2 linked regions of the Rhinolophus ferrumequinum genome follow. The protein of the gene in region 1 binds, or shares a complex with, the protein of each later gene. Links are inferred from orthologs where the notes say so. Each region holds a gene or a part of one and is shown in the gene's direction. Other genes may lie near its edges. The genes, in order: SLC9A1 and CHP2.

What was found.
Region 2: the proteins of SLC9A1 (region 1) and CHP2 are in contact, whole or in part, in a crystal structure (PDB 2BEC), measured with the Homo sapiens proteins. The link is inferred for Rhinolophus ferrumequinum from reciprocal best matches to the Homo sapiens genes SLC9A1 and CHP2. Residues at the interface, in NP_003038.2 of Homo sapiens: Ser517, Ile518, Asn519, Glu520, Ile522, His523, Thr524, Gln525, Phe526, Leu527, Asp528, His529, Leu530, Leu531, Thr532, Gly533, Ile534, Glu535, Asp536, Ile537, Cys538, Gly539, His540; in NP_071380.1 of Homo sapiens: Arg30, Arg34, Leu38, Leu51, Ile54, Ala56, Leu57, Asn60, Pro61, Leu62, Ile66, Phe70, Phe83, Leu87, Phe90, Tyr118, Ala119, Leu122, Tyr123, Met136, Val139, Leu140, Met143, Ile156, Arg159, Thr160, Glu163, Ala164, Phe177, Ser180.

What each region holds. Positions count from the first base shown.
Region 1 is NC_046292.1:18,599,669-18,603,570, reverse strand, and holds the start of SLC9A1 (sodium/hydrogen exchanger 1), read left to right. Parts: upstream 1-964; 5' UTR 965-1,770; coding exon 1,771-2,119; intron 2,120-3,902. UniProt on the Homo sapiens protein: Electroneutral Na(+) /H(+) antiporter that extrudes Na(+) in exchange for external protons driven by the inward sodium ion chemical gradient, protecting cells from acidification that occurs from metabolism.
Region 2 is NW_022680357.1:17,601,482-17,605,383, forward strand, and holds the start of CHP2 (calcineurin B homologous protein 2), read left to right. Parts: upstream 1-1,545; 5' UTR 1,546-1,784; coding exon 1,785-1,851; intron 1,852-2,228; coding exon 2,229-2,301; intron 2,302-2,443; coding exon 2,444-2,524; intron 2,525-2,638; coding exon 2,639-2,769; intron 2,770-2,944; coding exon 2,945-3,006; intron 3,007-3,773; coding exon 3,774-3,896; intron 3,897-3,902. UniProt on the Homo sapiens protein: Functions as an integral cofactor in cell pH regulation by controlling plasma membrane-type Na(+)/H(+) exchange activity.

The sequences.
Region 1 (3,902 bases):
CACTGGAGAAACACACTGTTCCCCAATACACAAATTATTTTTATTCCCCAATAAAAAATTATATATATATATATATATTAAATAAGAATATTAAAGTTCTAACCCCCAGTACCTATGAATGTGGCCTTCTTTGGAAATGGAAATAGTGTTATGGAAATAGTATTATTGAAGATGATCAATTTAAGATGAGGTCATTAGGGTGGACCCCTAATCGGTGGACCCCTAATCCAGGGGAATTTTGGACCCAGAGACAGAGGCACAGGGAGATCACCATGTGAAGATTGGAGTTATGCTGCCAACAGTTAAGAAACACCAAAGATTGTCCGCAAACCACCAGAAGCTAGGAGAGAAGCATGGAGCAGATAGATGTTCCCTCACAGCCCTCAGAAAACCTTGATTTTAGACCTCTAGCCTCCAGAATATGAGACAATAAATTTCTGTTTTTTTTAAGCCACCCAGTTTGTGGTACTTTGCTACAGCAGCCCTGGCAAACTAGTTTACATATTAGCTAAGCAACTCTCTCCACTCATTTCCTCATCTGCAAAACTGGAACTATAATAATAGTTCTATGTGCTGGGCTCCGTTCTAAACACTTAACACAGATTATCTCATTGAGTCATTTCAGTATCCCTCTGATACAGGTACTGCTACCATTTCCATTTTATAGATGAGAAAGCTGTGGAACAGGGAGTAACTTGCTCAAGGTCACAGGGTAACTAAATACATAAAATACTAATACATCCTTCGCAAGACTATTGGGAAGCCTTCATGAGACTGCGGGTGTGGATGTGATAGCGCTTTGTAAATAGTAAAGCGTTTTACCCGTGTTAGAATCTCTGTGGATTCAGGACTTTTTTTCCGCCCCCATCTCTGTCCTTTCTCTTGCTACAGGCTACTTCCTTCCCTCGGCGGCAAGGGGTCGCTGCGCTGCGTGGGCGCCGACGTTCCTTCTAGCCCGCTGCGCTGGCTGCTCGTTGGTACCTATAAATGGCAGCGACCGGCTCAGCCAGGCATCAGTCCACCGCCGCCGGCGCTGAGCCCGGCGTTGGGAGTAGGACTGGGAGTAGACGCGGAGAACCTGAAGCTGGGCCGGGGCCGCAAGGAGGGGCGTGCAGCCGCTGGCCCACCGCGAGCCGCTCCCAGCCCTCGCCGAAGCGTTCTCCGCTAGGCCGCCTGCCTCCGCCTTCCTCCTCCCTCCATTTCCCCGGAATCTCAGCCAGGTGCGCCTGCACCCCGACGCTTCTCTGGGTGGGGAAGCTCCCGACCGCTTTCCGGCTGCACTCCTTCCTCGCAGCTTGGGCTCCCAGACCCCTCTCTTCTTTGCCTGGACTGGGTCCCACCGCCTTCTGTCCCCTTCCTTGAGCTCCGGCTTCCTGCCCCTGCCCGTAGTCTATTCCCCTCTCTCTCCTTAGTCACTTTGCTCAGCCGAGGGTCCCAGCCTCCCCTCTTCCTTTTCCTTGCCTGGGGTCCAACTTGTCCTGTCCCTTCCTCTCTCTCCTTTCCCTGGCCGGGAGTTCCAGACCTTTAGGTCTCCTGTGGTCCTTCCTGGGTCCTTCTGCCTCTTCCCCAGTTTGGAGTTCTAGATTGAGAACCCAGATTCTGTCCACCCCCAGAGGACTGCTTCCGCAAAACGACCTCTCTAAAACATGAACTTTTCCTAGAGACTACTCCAGGCTCTCTTCCCACCTGCTGACCCCTTGCTGCCTATGTCCCAGGTCTGACTCTCACTTTGCTAAGAGTCCAGGCCTCCTCGGCCAAGGGAGCGGCAGGATGCTTCTGTGGTCTGGCATCTGTGGCCTCTCTCCACCTCGAATCTTCCCTTCGTTGCTGGTGATGGTAGCCTTGGTGGGGCTGCTACCTGTTCTCAGGAGCCATGGCCTCCAGCTCAGTCCTACTGCCAGCACCATCCGAGGCTCAGAGCCACCACGGGAACGCTCAATTGGGGATGTCACCACCGCCCCACCGGAGACCACCCCCCAGAGCCACCCTGTTAACCATTCGGGCACTGAACACAGCACACAACGAAAGGCCTTTCCAGTCCTGGACATCGACTACTCACATGTGCGCAGACCCTTCGAGATCTCCCTCTGGATCCTGCTTGCCTGCCTCATGAAGATAGGTAAGTCCAGTTTGCTTCACTGCTTCTGTTGCCACCAGCCTGGTGAGCTTCTTGCCCCATCCTTACCACTTGAGGCTGCCCAGGAGTTAGGGTCTGGACTCCTATAATGTAGGCAACCTCCATTCTGCCATCTTGGTCCTTCTCAGACTTGAGCTCTGTGGTTTGAGGCCTCCCAAGGTTGAAGCCAGCATCATGCATGGGAAAGAGGGGGATTGGAGCATGGGATGCTTCTGATACTGGGTCCTTTCAGCAAGGCTTCCAGGCTTGGCAGGTCTCCTCTGGTTGGGCCAGACCCCGAGGGGAGCCAGGCTCCCAGCTGCGTGGAAGGCAGAGAGGAGTGTCTTCCAGCAAGTGGCACATTCTGCTCCGTCAACAGCAACCAGTGCAATTACACGCTTCATGGGAGGGTGTTCCAGGATGGAGTATATTTCTACTTGGCCTGTTTAAGGAGTTTTAGTATCGCAGGGTACCTGCGTGCTGGAGACCTAGCAGTGTGCTGGAACACAAGGGATCCCTACCTTTTTACCTTACTTTATCCGTGGAATATTATCTGTCAGCTTTGCCTGCCCAGGCTGGTCAGGAGCCCCTGAGTCAGTTTCCGGCCCAGGAATGCCATTCCTTATGCAGTTTATGGGACAGGGGGCCCTGGAAATTTCTGAAGTCCGTTTTGGGGGTGGAGGAGGTTGAAGCTTGGTCTGGCCCCAGCTCACCTCCAGGTTAGCAGCCACCCGGCTGTGTCTCAAGGTACTGCCTGGGTTGGCCAGTAGTGTTGGCCTGCTGCTCGACCAAGTGGAAGAGGGACAGGTGGAGGGGCTCGGGATGCTCTGGTCTGAAGAGACTTTGAAACGATCTTTTTGGGAGAAGGAGACAGAAAAGTTGTTCCCTTCTGAAAAGTTGTCTCCCTGCTCGGCCTGAGCACTTTGTTCTGCTGGGTGATTGATTTATCTCTCGGGGACCTGCATCACTCACAAGTCCCTGGAAGTGTGTCCGGGGTGGGGGGGTGCTTTGAAAGCTGCCTTTGCTTTTTTAGCCCCAGCTAATCTGTAGAAGGCAAGGGACTCTGCTGGTCTGGGTTTGGGGCGTTTGTGACTCTTGGCAGAAAGCCTTGCAGCTTACCCGAGGACCTGAAGGAGCTGATTGGTGATGCCAGGCTGGTAGGAGGCAGGCTCTGGGACATGCTGCAGGAAGGCACCCTGTTTTGACAGAGCCAGAATCTGGCTTCCTGGTGCGGTGCTTGGCTGCTGTGACAGTAGCAGGGCCTATAGATGGACCTGGGCCACTGGCATCTGTACCCTGATGGCAGCCAGCTTCCTGGCATCAAGGACTGGGCAAGGGGAGCCATTTGTACCGATTCTGACAAATACATGACCTTGAACGAGCTGGGGCCTTTTTCTGCAGGTCTCGTCCACCTGTGAAACTGGCAAGAATGTCTACCTTTGACCATATCAATTGAGTCATTAAACCTGTGTCTTAATTTGTGGTAAGAAACTGAAGTGACCATGATGTGTCATTTGCTTGTGTGAGACCAGGAAGAGACCTCACACGCATCGTCTCTGAATCACTCTCCTCCCAACCACACCTGGCATTGTGTTAGAGCGCTGGGGGCCAGTACACGCACTGCAGGTCTCAGTGATTCCTGGGGGGGCAATAGCATGACCACAAAAATCCTACTTTGGGCAATCAGGAGTTTGTCCCTGCAGGCCTGATGTCTCCAGTTCTAATGGGATTAGGCTTTGTCCCTCCCAGAACCTGTAATAGGGACCCTGGGCAGCTGGAGAACAGA
Region 2 (3,902 bases), on another chromosome or scaffold:
CACGTCCCAGGGACCCGTCTCTCCTCGTAGGTTCAGAAGCTAACCCTGCCTGCACGCACAGCCTGCCATGGTGCGCGGCTGTGTTCGGCTCGGCGGGCTGTCCTCCTTGGGGCGCGGGGGCGGCGTCCGAACGGCTCTGAAAGGGAGGCGAGCATTCCTGTGCCAGCTGTTTAATCCTTGGGCCTCTGAAAGAGAAGCAAGCGCTTCTTAGATCAGTATTTTCAAGGCTTATCTGATGCAAGCCTCTGCCTGGGCGTGGGGCCTCCACTGGTTCTCTGGCTTCTCGCTCCCTCCAGGGCGGGTATGAACTTGAACCCTAATAATGAACGGCGTTTATTTTTCTCCCCCTGGGAAATGTGTGTATTGTGTGTGATTATGATGGGAAGAGGGGGGATGATAGAGTCACACCTGGACACTTGGGTGCTTGTTCCTTTACAACAGAGTTTCTCAAACGTTTTTTCATTATGGTCCCCACCTGAGCATTTTCAGGCCTTCCCCCTCCCCCCAAGGTCCCCTCTCCTATGAAATTTTAAGACCACTGATGTATCTGTTCCTGTACCACAGGTATATCTGTACTTTATACATAAAAAGAGTAAGATTTTTAGCCCCCTTGGGGGCGCTGCTGTCCCCACTGAGGATACAGGCTTTACCTGGTTCACACCTGGCGGCCTTGGCAGGCCCCGCCCACAGAGAAGCAGGAAGAAGGTGCCCTCGCAGGTGCTGTGATGGGCGTGTGAGCTAAGGCTTAGCTCGCGCTCAGCAAAGTGCCCTCTTGTTGTCATTACTATTATTTTAAGCTTGGCCACAGTGCTGTTCGTGACCCTCTCTCAGGCGGTGGCTTTCCACTGCCCTCCGAGGCCGAAGTCATTTCCAGCCGGGAGGGCTCGTGGCAGAGGCCCTGGGGCTCCTACGGCGTGAATTGGGCTGGGTGGGGGCTCTGGCACTGGCAGCCCACTGTCGCCCCCCCTTAACTATGGCAGCTGCTCTCCTACAGCCGCGCGGGCCTAGTGGTGTCGGACTTTTCATTTCTCTGGAGGAGCCGGGAATCCGGGTTTTTGGTTCCATCTCTTGATTTGTGAGCATTGAGTCCATTAAACAACAATAACGCAATATGGACCAAACCAAACAGATGAAACCGAGATACCCTGGCTTGTCCGGAGTAGGTCGCATAGCTGGGTGGCATCCATGTCTCCATGGAACACAGTGGCCACTCTGTGCCTCACGACACTCCCCAGGTCACCCCGCTTTGGGCGTCCATCAAAGCGCCTCCCTCCTGCCGGGGGAGGTGGTCCAGGCTGGGGCCATTCCCGACTGGGAGGAATGCGGGCAGCTCCCCTCCCCACCCGACACCCCTTTCTAGAAGGACCTGAATTCTGTGTGCAGACGAGAAGGTCAGGACCACCAGCCTTCCTCGCGGCCACTGGGAGAGCCCCAGGCTGGAGGGTTGGGGGGGGGGGGGCGCCCGCAGCCGAGCGTGGGAACGCGGACCGCGGAAGGCGCTGCGGGCGGGGCGGGCGCGGCGGGGCGGGACCTGGCCTCGCTCAGCCTCTCTCCGCGCCAACCTCGGCAAGTCCGGGTGAAACAGCCCGTTGTTGGTGCAGCCCTCTGGCCCCGCCACCCTGGGCGTTGCTTTCTATTCGCCCGGGTCACGGGTGGGAGGCGAGGAACGCTGGGGTTCAGGCGTCTGGCTCCCCGCCAGGCCTGTGGCCTTCGGCCCCGGGGGCCACAGGGCGGCCGAGCCTGGGCGGGAACACAGATCTCTCGTGTCAGGCTGCAGCGCTGCCATGGGCTCCCACAGCTCAGCAGTCGCGCGGATCCCGGACGCGGATGACATTCGTCGGGAGACCGGCTGTGAGCGGGGGTGGGGGGCCCTGGGGATGGGGGCTCCAGTGGGGTCCCGAGGAGAGGCGGGTGGAGGGCTGCGGGAGTCCAGACGATCTGAGCGGAGACCGCGGGGTGGGGGGGCAGGGGCGCGGTACCCTGGGCCCCCGGCGTCCAGGTTTGAGGCGGGCCTGGGTTCTCGGGGTTGGGGGCACCCAGGTGTCCTCGAGCCGGGATGGAGGGGGTTGGCTTTGGTCCCCTGGTCTCCCGGGGTATCGCGCCCCTGGGTCTCGTCACGCCCCCTCTAACCTCCAGTTGGCAGCCAGGTCCCCCGTGGAGCGCCCGCGACCCCCGCCACCTCCCGGATGGCCCGGGCGTCAGTCACCCGTCTGCCTTCCCTCCCGCAGTCTCGCAGGCCAGTCTGCTCCGCCTCTACCACCGGTTTCGGTCTCTGGACAGGAACAAGAAGGGCTACCTGAGGTGCGGGAGCTGACCTGTTATCCCGGTCCTGTATCTGTCCGTCCGTCTGTCTGTCTGGGCCCGTCTGTCTGTCTGGGCGCATTCCCCGCGTTGACCCTCGCTCTTTCGTCCGCGTCCTACCCACTTTGAACTTCCTTTGCAGCCGTGCTGACCTGCAGCAGATCGGGGCGCTGGCCGTGAACCCCCTGGGGGACCGCATTATAGACAGCTTCTTCCCGGATGGGTGAGGCGTCTCTGGGGCGGGGAGACAGAGGGAAATGCTGTCAGGGACAGGGGCACAGAGAGGGCCAAGGTGGCACTGCCTCTGCTCCATTCCACGTTCCCCCCCCCACCCCAGGAGCCTGCAGGTGGATTTCCCAGGCTTTGTCCGAGTCCTGGCTCATTTCCGACCTATAAATGAAGAGGATACCAGAACCCGGGACCCCAAGGAACCGGAACCCCTCAACAGCAGAATGAACAAACTCCGCTGTGAGTTGGTGGGGTCCCCCCAAGCAAGACCCCCGATTTCCCACACCAGTGAGAGGCCCCGGGCACCTCCCACTCCCCCTGTCAGCCCACGGAGCCTCCCTCCTCCTACAGGGTGACCTTCTGCGGGAAGAGACCCAGGGAGGGCCCACCTCATTCCACGCTGCTCTCTCCCCAGTTGCATTTCAGCTCTACGACCAGGACCGAGATGGGAAGATCTCCCAGCAGGAGATGCTACAGGTTGGGACACCCGTGTCACCTGCAGGGCGGGGTGGCTGCATGCAGCCGTGTGGGGGAGGGGGGCATGACTGGCATGGGGGTGCAGATGGTTGGGGTGTTGGGTGAGCAAAGGGGGTGCATGGAGTTGGAGTGTGGTTAGTTGGGAGGCAGGGCCAGGAACAGCTGCATTTGAGGTTAGGAATAGATTTGTATAGTAGTTCTCAGCTGGGGGCGATTTTTGCCCCCTGAATGACACGGGCAATGTCTGGAGACATGTTTGGTTGTCACAACTGGCAGGACGGTAGGTAGCCGTGCAACTGGCACCTAGTGGGTGGAGGTCAGGAATGTGGCTAAACACCCCACAGGGCACAGAACGCCCCCCGCCCCCCACAGCAGGGCCTTCTGTGGCCTCAAATGTCAATGGGGCTGAGACTGAGACCCTCTGGGCTCATTGGGCTGAAGTGGGGGTGCGGGTGGGGGAGGGGTTGGACGAGGAGGTGGCAGACGGGGTGGAGGAAGGATGGGGGCTGGGTTCCAAGGCTGGGGTCCAGTCAGGAGCCTGGGCATATTGCCGAGGTGAGTGTGGGATCATGAGGGACAGATGGGGGTCGGATGGAGTGGCAATGGGGGAGGTATTGGTGGATACGGTGGCAAGTGATCAGAATATGGTGCGCAGTGGCTCAGGGACGGATTATGAAACGGGTGGTAACTTTTGGGGTGATGCAGGCAAGCATTGGGGGGTGCTGGTGGTGCCCGTAACCCCCCTCATGGCTGTCCCCTGGTCCCAGGTCCTCCGGCTGATGGTTGGGGTACAGGTGACGGAAGAGCAGCTGGAGAGTATTGCCGACCGCACGGTGCAGGAGGCTGATGAAGACGGGGATGGGGCTGTGTCCTTCCTGGAGTTCACCAAGGTCAGA